2 linked regions of the Pelodiscus sinensis genome follow. Each later gene encodes a partner of the first gene's protein in a complex. Links are inferred from orthologs where the notes say so. Each region holds a gene or a part of one and is shown on either strand. Other genes may lie near its edges.

The links.
Region 2: the proteins of TMPRSS15 (region 1) and cationic trypsin-3-like are in contact, whole or in part, in a cryo-EM structure (PDB 8ZIV), measured with the Homo sapiens proteins. The link is inferred for Pelodiscus sinensis from reciprocal best matches to the Homo sapiens genes TMPRSS15 and PRSS1. Residues at the interface, in NP_001414986.1 of Homo sapiens: Tyr276, Thr277, Ile279, Trp297, Glu298, Leu316, Glu318, Asp320, Glu321, Ile369, Gln370, Ser372, Phe374, Pro376, Phe377, Ala389, Gly399, Pro400, Gly401, Gly402, Arg403, Glu405, Glu432, Asn433, Lys485, Ile486, Leu487, Val513, Pro514, Thr515; in NP_002760.1 of Homo sapiens: Phe18, Asp19, Asp20, Asp22, Lys23, Ile24, Val25, Tyr45, His46, Phe47, Cys48, His63, Cys64, Tyr65, Lys66, Arg68, Ala91, Lys92, Arg95, His96, Arg101, Lys102, Leu104, Asn146, Tyr175, Phe188, Leu189, Glu190, Gly191, Gly192.

What each region holds. Positions count from the first base shown.
Region 1 is NC_134711.1:173,914,506-173,923,282, forward strand, and holds the start of TMPRSS15 (enteropeptidase), read right to left. Parts: upstream 3,800-8,777; coding exon 3,651-3,799; intron 1,289-3,650; coding exon 1,177-1,288; intron 488-1,176; coding exon 420-487; intron 1-419. UniProt on the Homo sapiens protein: Responsible for initiating activation of pancreatic proteolytic proenzymes (trypsin, chymotrypsin and carboxypeptidase A).
Region 2 is NC_134711.1:136,339,709-136,348,952, reverse strand, and holds the start of cationic trypsin-3-like, read left to right. Parts: upstream 1-5,590; 5' UTR 5,591-5,709; coding exon 5,710-5,749; intron 5,750-6,957; coding exon 6,958-7,120; intron 7,121-8,684; coding exon 8,685-8,938; intron 8,939-9,244. UniProt on the Homo sapiens protein: Has activity against the synthetic substrates Boc-Phe-Ser-Arg-Mec, Boc-Leu-Thr-Arg-Mec, Boc-Gln-Ala-Arg-Mec and Boc-Val-Pro-Arg-Mec. The single-chain form is more active than the two-chain form against all of these substrates.

The sequences.
Region 1 (8,777 bases):
TAGACATTTTCTGGCCTTAGAAGAGAAGCACTGTATATTGATTGAGGCCAGGGAGCTCTGCTGGGGCCAGAACTTCCCGCTATGCTGTCCATCCTCCTCTTTCTTCCCCCACTCTGGGCTCCTGGCTGAGTCCCAGGGCCCCTTATGGCACTCCTACCCCTCCACCAGTTGTCCCTCTTCCTGTGCTCTGTGATCCAGGAACATATGGCCCAGGCTTGGCATAGCTTTAATTGGTTCTGAGAAGCAGCTGTATCCAGAGGGACATAACTATACTGTGCTTTCTGCAGTAGTGTTCATCAAAGGGAAGGAGAGAGATGGAGGGTCCCAATAGACCACTTGAGAGACAGAATCATTGTTGATATTCATAATCTAATGAGGATTTTAAAATTTTAAAATTATGAACTACAGTATATACCCACTTGAACAGCAAAACTTCAGAGTTCTTATATTCATTCTTCAGCTGACTTGCTTGATAGATTTCAGTTATCTGTAGAAAAATATATATAAAAAAATTCTGAACAGTGGTTGGAAATATACACAATTGCACCTAACAGTTGTGATTTCAACACTGCTTTCCCCCTGAGATCTAGGCTTGGGAAGTCCACAGGTTTCTATGATACTTGGCCAATATGCATGTAAATATTTTGAGTTTTGATTGAACTCAGAAACAATAACCTCTGTCACAGATGAAAGGGAAAAAAAGGCACCAATCACAGAGATGGCCAAAGTTTGGGATTTCCAGTTTGTGGGAAATATTGATATTTTGAAATTTGGTTTAATTCTGATTGAGAACAAAACCAAGGTTTTTTTTTCTGAACTCCCTGCACATTGGGGGTCCAATGCAACCATAGGCGGTTTTTGTGTCAAAATGAAATATGTTGCTAGAAGTGACTGAATGTGATGTTTTGTCAGTTTCACTGCTACTATTCAAGTAGCAGTGGTTAAATGGACAAGAATCATGCCAATTGGCATTGAGGAGAGGGACCAAGGGATCCCAGTGTTCTTGGCCAGCTGTATTCCCTGGCCAATTTCTGATGGAACCGGCTTGGATTTGATGAATCTGCAGGAAATTCCCAACCTGTTATAACTGATATTGGGTGAATTTTGGAAATTAATACAGTTAATGATGTATCTGTTATAGCCTCTTGTATTAACCATACATGTATAGACTCTTACCAATTGCTGAATATCGAAGGCAAGGGCCTTGAAGTCAGCTGATGAGTTGTCTTCCAAACTAGGGCTGAATGATGCTCCTGACAGTATTTTAAATGTTCCTGTGGCTGCATGACTGTTTTCATTTACTTCAGTTGGAATAGTTAAAGAAAAACAAAAGAGCGGAAATATTGATTTATGCAGTAATGTAAGCAACAGTTTGCATTTGACTTTCCCAGTAAAGGACATAATACAAAAATTGCTACTCTCCTTTCACTTTCAATTCAGAACTTTTCTTTGCATTGCCCTAGTTTCAAAAGAAAGTCAGATTCTTTTCAGCTGCTTAAAGACACAATTTCACAATGCTATCATGTTTAAATCCATACTTTTTTTCCCCATCATCCTATTACTTTCAATTATATCTTCAGTTCAGAGCTTTCCAGAACCACTATATTACCTGCTGAAAGAGGCAATGACTGGTCAGCTTCCTCCAGTTAGAGCAACTGACAGATACTAGTGAAGCATGGTGGGCAATAATCTGTTAAAAGTTTGTCAGTTCTTGGACTATAAGCATCAAGACCTCACACTGTTGCCTTTCTACAATTAAAAGCTCTGTGAATTTCTAAAGGAACACACAACCTTTTGAGAGGCATCTTTGAAAATACTGCTTTCACTGAAGTAATTATTATACAGTCTTTTCTACCAGAATGTATATGCTTGTGTGGGTGAGCTTCAAAAAAGTTCAAACAGGAACTAATTCAGTGAAAATCCTATGGCCTGTGGTATGATGAATATCAGATTAGAAGATCGTAGTGGTCCTTTGTGGTCTTATAATCTATGAAGAAAATTATATGAAAGTAGGTAACAAGGGCTAGATCCAGAAAAGGAGATAGACACCTCACTGGCACTATACCCCCCAAGTCCAACGTTTAGGTACCACTGAGGTGGTCAAGCCTTCTGTCTAGCTGCTGCCTAACTGTTTAGGCATCTAAAGTCTCTAGAGCAGCTAAATTTTAACTGTTTAAGTGCCTAAAAATCTGCTGGTGAGCATGCACACAGATGCTTATCTGACATGTAAGTCCTAGCAGGATCTTCAGACTAGATGTTTCCCCACCTATCTCATCTGCAATGCAATCTGGTGCAGGTTGTACCCCCCTTTAACTGGGACTCCCTGGTCTGGCAACATTCATGGTCTGGCAAGAGGGAGGTCTGGCGGAGAGGCAAGAGCACCATAAGGGGCACCAGTGACTCAGCCGGGAGCCCAGAGTGGTGCAGGGAAAGGGTGGATGGACGGTATGGTGGAGAGTTCTGGCCACAGCAGAGCTCCCTGGCCCCAGCAGCTCGGGGCTCTAGCCTGGATGTGACCATGGACCGTAGCCCCAGCCAGAGAGCTCTGATCACAGTGGCAGCTAGGGAGCTCTGCTTCAGCTGCGCACCTCTGGCCATGGCGCTCCTGTCCCAGCAGCATTAGGGCCAGGGAAAACCTGGGGAGCAGCAGGGACAGGCTGGAGCTCTAGCCCAATAGCAGCCTGGATACAAGGGTGGGACCTTCCCTGGTCCAGCAAATCCCCTCATTCAGGACAAGACATGTCCCAAGGATGCTGGACCAGTGAGGTCCAACCTGTAGTACCAAAAAATGTTCATGGCCATATGCCCCTTATAAAGATTTTGCAAAAAAGTATTTTAAAAAGAAACACAAACATTAACTTGATTTATTTCTATATTTTCTCTTAGAAAACTCATTGAAATCTCTGTGACATTTTGTTATTTCAGTGAAACTACATTTCCCTATGGAAAACTTATTAAAATAAACTAGCACTGATGGTGACTGTAATCTACTTTGACTATTAAGGACTTGACTATGCGAAATGCTGAGTACTCCTACTACCAGTTGAGTGTCTTCACATCTGACTATCCCCAGTGTTGGGCAATAAAGGCACCATGAAGGATGGCCCTGGAAATCAAAATGATCACATAAATGACTACTATTATATGTCTCCGAAAAAATATGATCCCAAGAGGTGGCAAGCGCTTGCAAGATACATGGAAGTCAATGGATGCTCACTACTACACAGGATCAAACCAGAAGCTTGTGACACAGTATTCCAAGTAAGGACATTTACAAAAATAATGCAGCTTACTTTAATTGAAAAACAAACATAAAACAAGCAGCATAGCTTTTAATTTTTCTCTTGACAGATCTGATCAAATATCATTATCTTTACTATTTAAAGTCCAGGGTCCTGACCCAAATCGCACTGAAGTCAATAAGAGTCGTTTCATCAACCTCAGTGAACTTTGGATCAGGCTTGAAATGCTTCAGTTTTTATGTATCTCATTTGTTCTGATTGTCAGTGGGAAAAATAGTAATGCATCTTTTTAAAGCAGCAGTGGTAACAGCAAAGCATAAAAAGTAAAACATAATTACAGTGGCAACAGTTGGCTTCTAAGTCTGAACAATTACCAGGGAGCTCCTTTAAAGGTTAGATCTTGACTACTTACCTTGTTGTGACTCCTTGATTAGTAGCCATGAAAGTGTAATTAATCCAGCACAAACACACACAAAAATTGCAAGCAGAGCAGCAAGCCAGATTTCAAAGTCATTAAGAGGGATACCTCTCTTAGATAATGATTTTTTCAGATTCATTCCCAGTTAGGAAGTTTATATCAATTAAGAATTGTCACAAGAAACATAGAGAGCAGCGATCTATGTGAACAGATATTTATAGGAAAAATTTGTAAATTAATTGCACCATTAATCTTCATTTACGGTCAGTCAGTATGATGTAGTTTTGATATCATTCCTGAATGGTTACATCAATGTGCAGTTTATGCTGGTATAAACAGAACGCAAGAGACTCATCATGGAAGATGATAATAGCTGAGATAAAAAATACATATGCAAACAAATACCCAAAGTTGTAAATGTTAATCAACAGCTTTGTACAATCACCTGCCATATGCCAATTTTTATTTGAAAAAAAAAAAAAGTTAAAAATTAAGTTTATTGCAGCATAATTTACTATTTTAGGGAATAATTACCTAGAAATAAAACTGAACTTACCATTGCATCAGTAAGAAAAAAAACCAAAGTAGCAGGTTGCTCTGAGCAGTGGCAGTTGCTTGAAGGGCCCAATCCTGTTTCTGGTTGAGTTTCCCTAACTTCTCCTGAAATGAATACGAGTGAAGTGTGTTTAGCACCTCATTGCAGATACTCATTGTCTCATGAGTTTTAAGCGTTTCAATTTTTTTATGTTTATTCTAAATATTCTTTTTGCTGGACCCTTTTATTAATTTGTTGCACACAAATATTTCTGATAATATTGTCTAGGTTAATATAAATTGCTCAAAAGTACTTCTGTAGTGTGCATGAAGGCATCTAACAACCACACTAATATTGTTAGGACATTAACTTAAAGAAGTCCTTTAAAATAGCAAGGGTACAACGATCATTTAAAACTAGATTACTAAATTACTAAAAGTTGTGTGAGCATCTAATGTTTGTTTCTAATCAGTGGTCAAATTAAAAAAGAAATACTTTGTACTGAGCTGGGAAAGGGCTTCCCATTCACTTCCTGGTCCTGCTGATGCTGGGGGGTTCCAGCTGCCACCTGGCCCAGCCACAGCTGGCCCAGCCAGGGCTCCCCTGCCCTGCATTCTCCCGACTGCCTCTGGGGCCCTTTGGTCCAGCAACATCCATGCCAGACCAGAGAGTTCCAGATTTGGGAGGTTTAATCTGTGTAAAAAACAAAGTATTAGCGCAAATCTAGCCAAGAAGTATAATGTATTGTGTGGGAAAAAATACCTGAGCACTTTCTTTGTTCGTCATCTAACAACTCTTCCATCAAAGTTGTCAAGAGTTCTGCCTGCATCAAGTTTAAGTGAATGTTGAGGGAGGAGTTATGGGGGACTAGGCATATAAATATTCACACCACTATCATTTTGCACATTTGAACAAGAAAAAAGAATAGCACCTGAAGACTTTTTTTGAATCATTAATTTTGGATTGATGCCTACACAGTAAACTAGTGGCCTCATTATATGAGAAGTAGCAGAGACTATAATAATTTACAGCTCAGTTAATTTTGTCAAGCTATGTATATGTTTAGATTTACTTATGTTTGGACCAGGACATAAACTTGCAAGTGCTCTCTTCAATTCTGATCATGATTAGTATAAAGGAACTAATTTCCTAAATATGTTATTTTCTATTCTGAAAACTAGGTAATGGTGGCAATAATGAATACGCAATCTCCAAGACTAAGTCAATAATGAATGCAATGTCAGGTTTCATAAAAGTGCATTATTATTGTTGTTGTTGTTGTTCTTATTATTGTTGTTACAACTACTACTACTACTACCAGGGCTCAACAATTAGGGCAATCTACTTACCTGTGGTGAGTAGAATTTAGCCCGGCACGGCGCCGCAGCATGATCAGCGCATGTGCAGCGTGCCAAACCGCGCGGCTGGTGAGTGGGGCTCATCACTGCTTGTCAAGCCCTGACTACTACTATATTGTTTGTAACATAAAACATTGTGATAAGGACAAATTGAGAAATAATAATAATAAGATAACCAATACTTTTTTTTCTCAGTTTTAACTAAATACCTTCAAGACTTTGGAACAGACAGATATATTTTGATATAATGTTTGCTTAGCAGTGGTATCATATCAATGAATAACTTCCTTGGTACATTGTCCACTCACATTCACCCAACTAAGAAGCTTTTGCCGACACTCTCCCATTACATTACTACTGAAAAAGCACTTAAAAAAATCCCTCCAAGCATACATTTTTCAACATGAAAGTTCACAATTAAAATAGTGAATTAAACCCTTTTGCCTGCCAATGGAATAGTGAATGTTACAGCATCAGCTCTTCTCGCCATGAAATTTCCTGCATGATTTTAATCAAGTAAAGAGCCAAGTTAGAAAGCCCAGGGAGAGCTTAGTCAAGCACATACATTAATCTTTTAACAGAAGTTGGATGAGCACAATCTCATTGTGACACTGGCAAAGGGGGTGCCTGCATTTGCTAAGGCTTTAGGCCTCAGCCCAGCACTGGCAAATGTATTGATGGAAGCCAGTCTGTTTCACCTGCATGTTAGTATGGTCAGCATGGGCATTGATTGTATAGCAGTGTGTTTACTGATATTTTTGTTTACTAGTAATGTCAGAAAAATCATCTATGGTCGTTTAGAAACCAGAATTCTTCAGAATTTTCCTCTTCTTCCTTTGTATTTTGAATGATACTCCAAAAGTCAAAATGTTCTATTTTGAAAATGTGGCACTGCATCATTTCTAATCTTTTTTTCTCTTTGTAACAGAAATAATTAAGTGAAACCAACACAAATTAGCAATATGTTTCAGTTTATCTTAATCTGTTCTTTTAATTAAAAAACAATTTCAACTGAACAATTTCATCCAGTTTGAGTTACAAACAATATTTTTAAAAATATTGTAATTTAAAAGTGTGTAATATTTAATTGTTATATGGGCAAATATTATGCCCATCTCCATATTCAAAACCAGAGAGGAAAGGACAACTTTTTCTAAAAAAGTGACTTAGAGTTATTATATCTAAGAATTGCTTGACTGACAGCTTTTCATTATCAGTTTCACTCTCACTTGCCAAATTCTAGTTCAGGCCATTTGCAAAGAAATATATTAGAATTCAGTCCCACAAGATTGACAGTACCATCACTTTACATTATGTCAGTGTCATCTGTAGACCAAGCAAAATTTACAGTCTCTTGTCATGTATTTATTTTCCTTTTTAATCATACAACTGCATAGGGCAAAAAGGGTGCTGACACAGAAAGAGGGGAAATGCTGTGTTTAGATAATTCCTCTAATACTCATTCTATGACAAACACACCCAAAGCCTGACAATCTGTTAATCCATCGCTGGGAAAATTATTTGGTTAGATTTTCAGGAATGCCCTCCATTAACAAGATGAAATGAGATTCACCTTCCTTGTGGCAGGTGTTTTCAGATATGTAAGTATATTTTGTAGTGCAGACTGCTGTGGAAAGAGCTGGAAAACTACATCTAGAAACAGACCAAAAGCTTATTTTTGCTCATGCTTATGCACCAAGGAACTAGCATTTTAAAACAGAACTCAAGCACATGTGGGAAGGAAAAAGCCCCACAAGATTCTTAACTCCACCTACAGTATGAGTCACCTCCCTTGTTTTTGGTAACCTAAAGGACTATGTTATTCTGTATTAGTGTCTCTCTAATGCAAATTGTTCTCCTCACACTTGGCCAAGGGCTATCAATGGGAATGAGTATAAGAGGGCATCTTCCCCAGGCCTGGTGATTTAAAAGGGCCTGGGGCTCCAGGCCTTCACTGCCACTATCGCGGCAACCCATCAGTGTCTGGAGCCCCAGGCCCTTTAAGCTGCAGTTCAGGTGGCACTGAGGGCTGGCTGGGAGACACTGGCCTCAGCCCCTCTCTGCCTGACCAAGTCCCTACTCCTTCCAGGGGGTCTGGAGCTGAGTCCTTCCCACATTGCTCAAGGCTCAGTGAAGTCTTCTTTTGGATGTGTTGCTGCAAGCCTGGCAGCAGTTTCTGCAGGCTGCCTCACAGCATCTGCTGCAGCCCAACTCCCACGCCATCATCCGGACCCACCTGGGGTATGTGGAGAAGCAGCTGCAGCTCCCGGACGCTAGTGTGCCCCTCGCTTCTGGCGTCTGGATACCAGCAGTGACTGGTGGGACCACAACGTCCTGGAGAGGTGGGGAGATCAACAATGGACCCAGAACTTCAGGATGAAGAAGGACACCTTCATGGAGCTCTGTGAGTGGCTCACCCCTGCTCTGCAGTGACGGGACACACACATGAGGCCCGCCATTCCCCTCCAAAAGCACGTGGCCATCGTCCTCTGGAAGCTCTCCATGCCAGATAGCTACCAATCGGTGGCAAACCAGTTTGGCATGGGGAGATCCACCGTCAGAGCAGTGCTCATGCAGGTATTGCAGTCTCTGGCCACCGTGCCAGGAGGGGGGGTGCAAGGAGGGGATGGGCTGCTCTAGGAAAAAGGGGGGGGAGGAGGTGAAAGTCCCCTCTCTGGGAGGGTTTGTTCTGTCCCGCCCACACTAAGGACTGTGGGTGGTGGCCAGGATTGCAGAGGGGGTTGCTCCTGAAGAGTGAGGGAGCGGGGCAGTGGTGGGGAGGGGGCACTCTCAGTCACCTTGGCAACCCAGTGACACTCGGTTTTGTGTGTCCCTCTGAAAGTGGTCAAGGCCATTAACAGAGTGCTGCTCCACAGAGTCATCCACCTCACTGATGTGGACGTGGTGATCAAGGGATTTGTTGGTCTGGGCTTCTCCAACTACGGGGGGCAATCGACGGGACGCACATCCCCATCTGTGTCCCAGACCACCAGGCCTCCCTGTACATAAGCTGGAAGAGATACTTCTCCATCATCCTGCAGGCTGTGTCTGACCACCAGGGCCTCTTTGTGGACATTAACATGGGCTGGTCCAGCAAAGCACATGACACGAAACTCCTCCACGTGCCAAAGGCTGCATGCCGAGATTTTCTTCCCTGACCACCACATCAGGGTCAGGGACGTGGACATGCCTGTCTGCCTGGTGGGGTATGCAGCCTATCCCCT
Region 2 (9,244 bases), about 38 Mb from region 1:
ACAACTGCAAAATTTGCATTTCCCTGGAATGCACGCAATGCCTTTGTTTTTGAAATGAGGGGTGCTTTGGCATCTCTCTCTCCCATTATTGTCAGCTCGCTCCTAGGTAAAGGGCAAGATTTTGAATGAGGTGCTGATCGCCATGTAGAACTGTGTGCTCACTGGCTGCACAGAAGTAGCTGGCTGAATCCTGGGTTTCCAGAGCTACGATGTTCATGGAAGAGGTTCTGGTATTGGGTCTAGTGACTGGAAACTTGGAAGCATTGTAGTCCTTCTCATAAGTAGCATTCGATCCATATACACTTAGGGCTATTAACCTTGGACCTTCTGTCTTGAGTTGTTTGTACCAGTACATATAGGTGTAGCTAGTGTCATTTTGGACACAGGTTATTTCCATCCTTTCTCCATGTCTCTGGGTTGCTGTTCTTGGGAACTGAGAGATGAGGACTCCCAGCCCAGAGCCTATGTGAGAGAAGCAATTAAAAAAAAACAAATTAAAGGTGTATACAGTCTTTTAAGTTACATTCTAAATGTCTCTCCCCTCCCTCCTCCCACCAGTGTAGGATTGCTCCTTGCTGGCTTGTGCATATCTCTAGAGAAGTTGTGCTCTGCCTGTGCACCAGCTTGGGGTGGGATTTCTAGGTTCTTACCAGGCACTAGAAGCAGCAGGAATCTCAACATTTTTGCTAGTGAATTTTATTCTTCTCTCTGGTTTATCTCTTGGTTTTTGTGAAGGTGACAGGAAGTGATGAATTGACTGAGCATCTTCTCCCTTCTATGATTTCTCCAATGAAAACCTGGGGAGGGGACGAATTGAAATGATGTATAAATGTTGCTTCAGATGATATGCAAAACGGTTTCCTGAGCACTCAGGTCATAAATATTTCTTCAGCACTTTATACGAGAGATCCAGATGTGCTCTTGGGCAAACCCTAACTCATGTTACTGCTTTCTACCCCCAGCAATGTAGATGAAGTTATTCTTTCCTTCCATTCCTGATTGACTGAGCCATGCACTGAGTGATTGAAATAATATTAGTGTAGAACCACAGCTATCTTATATTTTTGTTTTCCAGAATTTTCTCCTCACAATCTGTGGACTGTTTGGAAATGCAGAGATACCATCTGCGTTTTGATTGACTTTGTTTTAAAAGCTACACCCAGTTATTTAGTAAATTAGTTTTCAATTCATTAGTAGTTTTTTAAATATTAATTCCTTGTCACTCAGGCTTTTCTTTGAGTACATTTGAATAAATATTCCCTTCCCATTGAGAGATCTTTCTTTACTTTCCTTGAGAGCTTCCTTCCTGGATCTATAGCTTCCCTTTCTTTCCAGCTCCCCTCCCTGTAGAAATCATCTTCCTTCACCTGCCTACCCACAATGCTGTGCAGATCCAAATCCCATGTGTAACTGCATTTTGGAGATCACTGGATGAACAATTGACTGTCAGCTGTGGAGTTCTCAAAGCTGGGAGACTATATAGGATTTTCAGTGTTTATTAGGCTCTGTCATTGCCTGATATTGATCTTCTAGTTGAGCAAGATTTTCTGAGTTCTCTCAGGAGGAAGTAATGTATTAGAGAGATGTGGAAGTTTTTAATAATTTCTGCATTTCAGAATCTCTGCATGGAATCTTCTGAATTCTGTCAGGAGGAAGTGTACTAGAGAGATGTGGGAGTTTTTCATAATCACATTTCCTAAATTTTTGCCTCTAAGCATGAGCATGACTACCTTACTTTGGGCACTTCATAGCATGGCATGCTCCTTGACAACACAGAAGTAGCTAGCTGAATCCAGGGTTCTGAGAAGATCATGCAGGGCCCAGTCCAGTAGTTGTGCTCAGGGGCTATCTAACTCCTCACAAAAAATCCAAACTAGCTAGCATTACTGATCTTTAAACCTGTATTGCAGTGGTTAGCGCATTTGTCTGGGATGTGGGCATCCCATGTTCAATTCCCTCCTCTCTGGCAGAAGGAAATAAACATGGGTATCCAAACTCTCAGTTGTTCGCTCTGACCCAGTGGTGGGAAATGAGCTGGAGGAGGTTCACCAGCTGGCCGCCAGTGATTTATTTACTTGCATGTCCATGAGTATGGCTGTGTCGACATGGGGATGTCAGTGGATGTGATATACCTTGACTTTGGCAAAGCTTTTGATACGGTCTCCCATTGAATTCTTGCCAGCATGTAAGATACATTTATGGAGTGGATAAATGGTCTGTGAGGTGGATTGAAAGCTGGCTAGTTTGTTAAGCTCTGCTAGTAGGAATCAATGGCTCAATGTCAGGTTGGTGGTCAGTTTCAAGTGGAATGTACTGAAGGTCAGTTCTGGTGATGGTTTTGTTCAACATCTTTATTAATGACCTGGATAAGGGGTTGGATTTCACCCTTAGCAAGTTTGTGGATAATGCCAAGCTGGGGGTGAGGTCGATATGTTGGGGGGCAGAGACAGGGTCCAGAGTGACCTAGACAAAATGAAGGATTGGGCCAAATGAAGTCTGATGAGGTTCAACAAGAACACGTTCCCTCAGCACCCTTGGATGCATTAGATCCACCTCCATGGATTTGTGTACATCAAGCTTTTCTAAATAGCTGTTTATACCTATTCTTTGTTCACTGATGGCTGCCTCCTTCCCACCCTGTGCTGCCTAGCCCAGAGTCTGGGAGCTGATCTTGTCTGTGAAGACAGAGGCAAAAAAAGCATTGAGTACTTCAGCTTTTCCCACATCATCTGTCACTAAGTTATCTCTCCCATCCAGTAAGGGCCCCACACCCTCTCTGATCACCCTCTTATTGCTAACATGCCTGTAGAAACTTTTCTTTTTATCTTTCACATCCCTTGCTAGCTACAATTCCAAGTGTGCTTTGGCCTTCCTGATTACACCCCTGCATGCTTGAACAATATATATACTCCTCCCTGGTCATCTGTCCAAGTTTCCACTTGTAATCTTCCTTTTTGTGTTTAAGCTCACCAAGGATTTCACTGCTAACCCAACTTGGTCACCTGCCATATTTGCCTTTCTTACTGCACATTGGGATGGTTTGTTCCTGCACCTTCAATAAAGCTTCTCTAAAATACTGCCAGCTCTCCTGGACTCTTCCCCCCTCCTGTTAGTATCACATTCTAAATGCCCTCCCACTCCAGCCCCAGCCAGTGTAGGATTGCTCCCTATAGCATTGTCTCCATGGGGTTATCCTGAGCCAATAACCACCTGGGGATTATCCTGAGCCAACAACCACCTGCTATCATCCCATGGTAGTTAGATACTAACTCAGGAGAGTTGACAGCTGCATCAACAAACACTTTCATCTCTGGGTGGCCAATGTCCTTGCACAAATCAGCTCTCCTCTCAGGCAGGGATGTTGGTTTGTTATTATAATGTTCTAAATTCATTTAAGCACATGATGAGAGTCAAGTAACACACTAACAAAGATTTTTAAAAATGGTCACAAAGTTAAACCTCCCAAATCCATACTTATGCACTTAGATTAGTGAACTGTTTTCAAAAGTGCAGCAGCTCCTATTGATATCAATGGGACTACTCACAAAAAAAGTTATTAAGGTAGTAACACTGGGCCCTAAGCAATATGTTTCAAGAATACACTGCAACAGGGAGTTTTACAAGCTAATTATTTAAAACTAACTTTTATCAATTTAAAAGGAAATACCTTTAGTTTCCCTTCTAGCTATATGGTAGACCTGATGACCCTTCCCTACTCCTTTTTAATTTATCACTAGCGGATCTCTGCCTCATGGCTGCAGTGCAACAGTCTCAGAGGTGGCAGAGATGTGAGGATGTGGCGGCAAGGTGAGGCAGGCACGTGGGCAGCATGGGGGAGGGGAGGGTGTGGGAAGACTCAGGGGACACTGGCTTGGGGGGCTGAAGGAGGAACAGGCGGAGCATGGCGTGAAGGGACTCCTGCAGCACCTCCCACTTCTCTTTGTCCCAGGGCCTGATGTGTGCGCAGAGAAGTCATTTTGCCACGGCAGCAGCTGCTCAATGGTCTGTGAGGCATTCCCTCCTCCCCGCCATACTCTGATGCCCACACTGCCCCCACTTGCTAGACAGGCTGCCCCTGGGATGCCTCCTCAGCAAGTGGTTGGCAGGTGCGGCAGGGACCTTGTGGGGGCAGTGGTATCATTCAGACCTGTGCCTGCTAGGGTAGGCGGCTCACGGGGCAGGGTCCTGCACCCTGGGGGTGACCTGTCCTACAGGTGGAGGGGCGGGAGCAGCAGAGGTTGGCGGGGGGCAGCACCTGCAGCACAATGACTTCTCCGAGTGGCATATTGGGCCCAGGGACATATAGAAGTGGGAGATGCTGTGAGTGGTGGCACTGGAAGTAAGTCCCTGCCCGCCCTGCTCTGCTCATCCCTACCTCGGCTCCCCAAGCTGGTGCCCCCGCAGGTCTTCCTGTGCCCACCCCACCTATCCACCACATCCTCACATCCTGCTCTGTTGTGGGGGGTGGGAGAGGAGCAAATGGTAGCCACCAGCCCAGCTTATCATATTGTACCTTTCCAGTGTATTCTCAAATGTTCTCTATAACAGACAGTGTGATGGACACTTTTATACTTTTTATAATAGTATATATATTATTATTGGGAGTTCCATATTTTATTGGAATATTGATTTTCTATAGAACATTCCCCCAAAAATTTAAAAATCCAAGCTGAGACACAGTTCTTGGCTGGATTAATAAATCCAGGAAAATCCGTAAGTGGACAGTTGTCTCCCACATGAAATTATGAAAGCTCCATAATTTGGTTCATTTACCACTAGAAGTGGGAAAATAACAACAACCACAGGGATAGTAAATTAGAGCTGCACACCCCTCAGGAATGGAGATTATTCCTAACAGAAAAACTCACAATTCTGCTCAAACTGTTACATCTCTTTCAAATGTTCACAGTTAAACATTCACTTAATACAGAATTAAAACTTTACTATGTAGAAGAAAAATGCTGCTTTTAACCATCTTAATTTAGATGAATCAAATACAAAGTTACTTTATCCCATCCTCTTATTAAAGCTTTGCCTTTATTTTAGTTGTTTACATTTAACGCAGTCCTATATAATATTTTCTTTTTTTTTTTAGTCTCTGCCACCTAATTGTGCACTTCCAGTTCCAAATAAGGTGTGTGGTTGACCAGCCAGTTTGTAACTCTGGTGTTCATAACTCTGATGTTCTAATGGATACAAATAAATCTGTATTGGCCAGGATAACTACATGGTCAAGAGACAACCTAATAATAGATCATCTCCAATTCCAATTTATAGGACCTTAAACCCTACATAGAGAACTCTTAACTTCTGGAAAGAAAAGGCACATTCCAGAAAGGCATGATTACTGACAGATGACTCTCAAAAGGCTTTGAGGTTTGTTGTGCACTAACAAAACCTGGAATAAAATCAAAGAAAAACTGACCTAAGTTCTCATTTCATTTTTAAACTGAAAGCTATCTCCTGTAATCATTTAAAAAATACCTCTGCAAATGAGGAAAAGTTCATCATTAACTCTGGAGTTTGGGGAGATGTGGGATTTTTTCTACCTGTGCCTGATAAACACCTAAATGTATACTTTCAAACTTTCCATTGTGTACTTTCCTTTGGTGAAATCCTTGGGCTGGAGATAAGGCCCATTCAGGAGGATAAAACCCCAGAAATTATATCTTCTAGTCTACAAAGCTGTATTAAATCCATAGGAAGACCATGAAATACATCCTGGTAGTAGCTTTTCTGGGAGCAGCTGGTAAGTTCATTTTTACTGTTTGTTACAGTGAAGTTTATATGAGCCAGGTTGTATACTACTGGCTACGTCTATATTGGTGCGTTCTCACACAAAAACTCTTTTGAGGAAGAGTTCTTCTGCAAAAACTCTTCCAGAAGAGAGCATCTACATTGGCATGTACTTTTGCACAAGAGCATCCATGCCAGTGTAGACGCTCTCTTGTGCAAGAAATCTTTGATGGCCATTTTAATCATAGGCCTTTCTTGCTCAAGAAATTCATGTTGCCTGTCTACATTGGCCTCTTGCGCAAGAACAGTTGTGCAAAAGGGCTTATTCCTGAGTGGGAGCATCAGAGTTCTGGCGCAAGAAGCCCTAATTTCATACATTAGAACGTCAGTTTACTTGCGCAAGATCACGTGGCCAGTGTAGACAGGCAGCAAGTTTTTGAGCAAGGGTGTCCACTTTTGCATGAGATCGTGCCAGTGTAGATACAGCCCTGGAGAGTGAAGCCCTTTTTTATCCCCAAAATTGTCAAGACTGTCAGCCACAGGCTAATTATCACAGAGTTTGAAGGCTACGTCTACACTGGCAGCTTCTTGCACAAGAACTGTTTTGTGGAAGAGTTCTTGCGCAAAAAGTCTTCCACAAGAGCGTGTCTTCACTGACATGTGCTTTTGCACAAGAGCATCCATGGCTATGTGGATGCTCTCTTGAGCAAGAAAGCTCTGGTGGCCATGTTAGCCATAGGGGTTTCTTGCGCAAGAAATTAATGTTTCCTGTCTACACTGCCCTCTTGCGCAAGAGCTCTTGTGCAAGAGGGCTTATTGCTCGTGGGGAGAAGAATAACTCTTCTGGAAGAAGCCCTGTTTTCCGATGCTATACTGTAAATTTACTTGTGCAAGAATGTTTGTGCAGTGTAGACACCCGGCAAGTTTTTGCGCAAGAACAGCTGTTTTTGCTCAAGAAGCCACCAGTGTAGACGTAGCCTGATTGTAATATGGACAAATAGGCACTAGAAGCTGGGTTAAGTGAGCCCCAGAGCTGGATTTCATAAAACAACCAACAAAGAGCCACCAGCTGTGGAGACCTTTTGACCACCATCAGCTCAGGCTTGGCTCCCAGTTTCCTACAAGTGAGCGGCTTTGTATCCTAATTGTCTGTCCTTTCATTCAGGTTGGCTCCATGGTCCTCATCATGCATATTAATTACTATCTTCCTTTTTCACGCAGTTGCCTTTCCCCTTGATGATGATGATGACAAGATAGTGGGAGGCTACACCTGTTCAAAGAACTCGTTGCCCTACCAGGTGTCCCTGAATGCTGGATACCATTTCTGTGGAGGTGCCCTCATTAACAGCAGATGGGTTGTCTCAGCTGCTCACTGCTACAAATCGTGAGTAGAAAATATTTGTGCCGTTAAATTACTGCTTCCCCTCTGGCCCTATCACCCTTGTAGTGTCAGATCTGGTTAACTAAGCAAGGGTCAGTCCACCTCAGGTGGGAGATTGTCAAAGAATGCTCCAGTCCTTCAAGCAATGGAGTTGGTATTTCAGGAGAGGCTCTGGTTTCTGTGTCAGTACTGACTGCAGTGCACCAGCAGCCTGGCATTAGAAGAGGGTGCTGTGCTGCATGAGGTGACGATTCAGTATTGGGTGACATTTTTTCTGAATTAGAACTGAATCAAATGCCCTAGCATGAGTCATCTGTCCTGGTGACCGTCAGTGGGTATGTCTACACTTTGAGCTGGAGGCATGATACCCAGCTCAGAGACACACACACTGAAAATAGAATGTCACTGTGGTGATGCAAATGATGGGAAGGGCTTGCCAGCTCAAGCACTTTCCCACCCAACCCTATAGGCACATACTCATGGCTGCTAATCCCTCTTGCCACTGTGATTTTTAGCATGCTTGATTAATTAAAGCTAGCACAGAAATGTCTCCCTGAGCTTGGAATTGCCCTTCCAGCTTCTAGTGTAGGCATGTCCTATAATGGTCTAGTAATTTCTGGAAGTCTCTTGATTGCTTTAAGGGAGTTAATTGGCTTTGTGGGAGTTCAATCGTGAACTAAAATTGCAGAAAGCAGAATGATGGACTAACAAAGAATGATTGAAGAGTGAACAGAATGGGCCTCTCTCCACCATCAAACAATCAAAGCACTTTGCCAGGTGACAGTGCAGTGGTCATGCAGGGATTATGTGTCACCTTTTCTGAAAACTCACCTACCGTCTTGTTAGAGTATCTTTCGTTCACTGGGAAATATGGGAACAGGGATTTGATGAGGACACCAGGGTTTTCCTAAACTATTGCTGTAAATCACCTAGAGATGGTTGATTGGTACCGTGCCAGGTTGTCAGACATCTCCATTGTGGCGTAGCTCCTCAAATAGTTCAGTACCCACTGCTTCTTCAGTGCTGCCTTGTAGGGCCATCATTGGGAACCCATTGAAGAGGAGTAAGTAGGCATCCTCAGTGTACTGTATCCTTCAAAGTATAACCTTCTCATCACATGGGTACCTCTTCCCCCAGGAAGAACATTACATTTCAATTCTACAGCACCACCACCTGAGGAACTCAGAGCCTTTGAGTTAAGCCTCAGAACTCCCTTGTGAGTTAGGAATTACTACCCCCTTGTTAGAACTAAAAGTAAAGCGTGGGGAGAGATGTGTAGACATGGTAAAAAAATTACAAATGTTGATAATTTTCAAAGAAAATTCAGTGCTCCAGGACTGCCCTGCACAGTTGGATTGCAGATGAGTCCAAATCCTGGCATGTGAACTCCAAACCAGAGAGCTTTCCACTGAATGGAGCAACTGAGACTTAGTGCTGGTGTTGATGACAGCTGTAGTGGTGGCAATAGCCACAGTGATGGCGTAGGTTGTTGTGGTGATGATGATGATGATGGATAATGATGGTGACAGTGCTGGTAAGGATGCTGTTATTCCTTCCTCCTTTCCAGCTCTATACAAGTGAGGCTTGGAGAACACAACATAGAAGTCAGAGAAGGCACCGAACAGTTCATTAACTCAGTCAAAGTCATCCGTCACGAGAAGTACAACTCCCGGCTCCTGGACAATGACATCATGCTCATCAAGCTGGCCAGTGAAGCCACCCTCAACTCCTACGTCAACACAATTGCCCTGCCAACCGGCTGTGTGGCCACTGGCACCCCGTGCCTGATCTCTGGCTGGGGCAACACTCTCAGCAGTGGCAGTGAGTGCTCTGTGGGAGTGTAGAGCTTCTCGGGGATCCTGGAGACCTTTATTGGCCTGGTAATAGGCCCCATAGAGGAGAATATGGGGAGGGGCGAGCACCTGTGGGGGAGGCAGTTTGAAGAGAGAATCCATCTGGGATGTCATGGCTCAAAGGGAAGAGCCTGTGGGAGCAGGCAACCTTTATCTAATTTAAATATGCTCTCTTCTAATATCCTTGATTGACTCTTGTTATCATTGGCATGGAGCTGGCTGAATCACTAAATATGTTCCTCTGTGAGTTCCAGGAAGAAACCCTCTATCACCC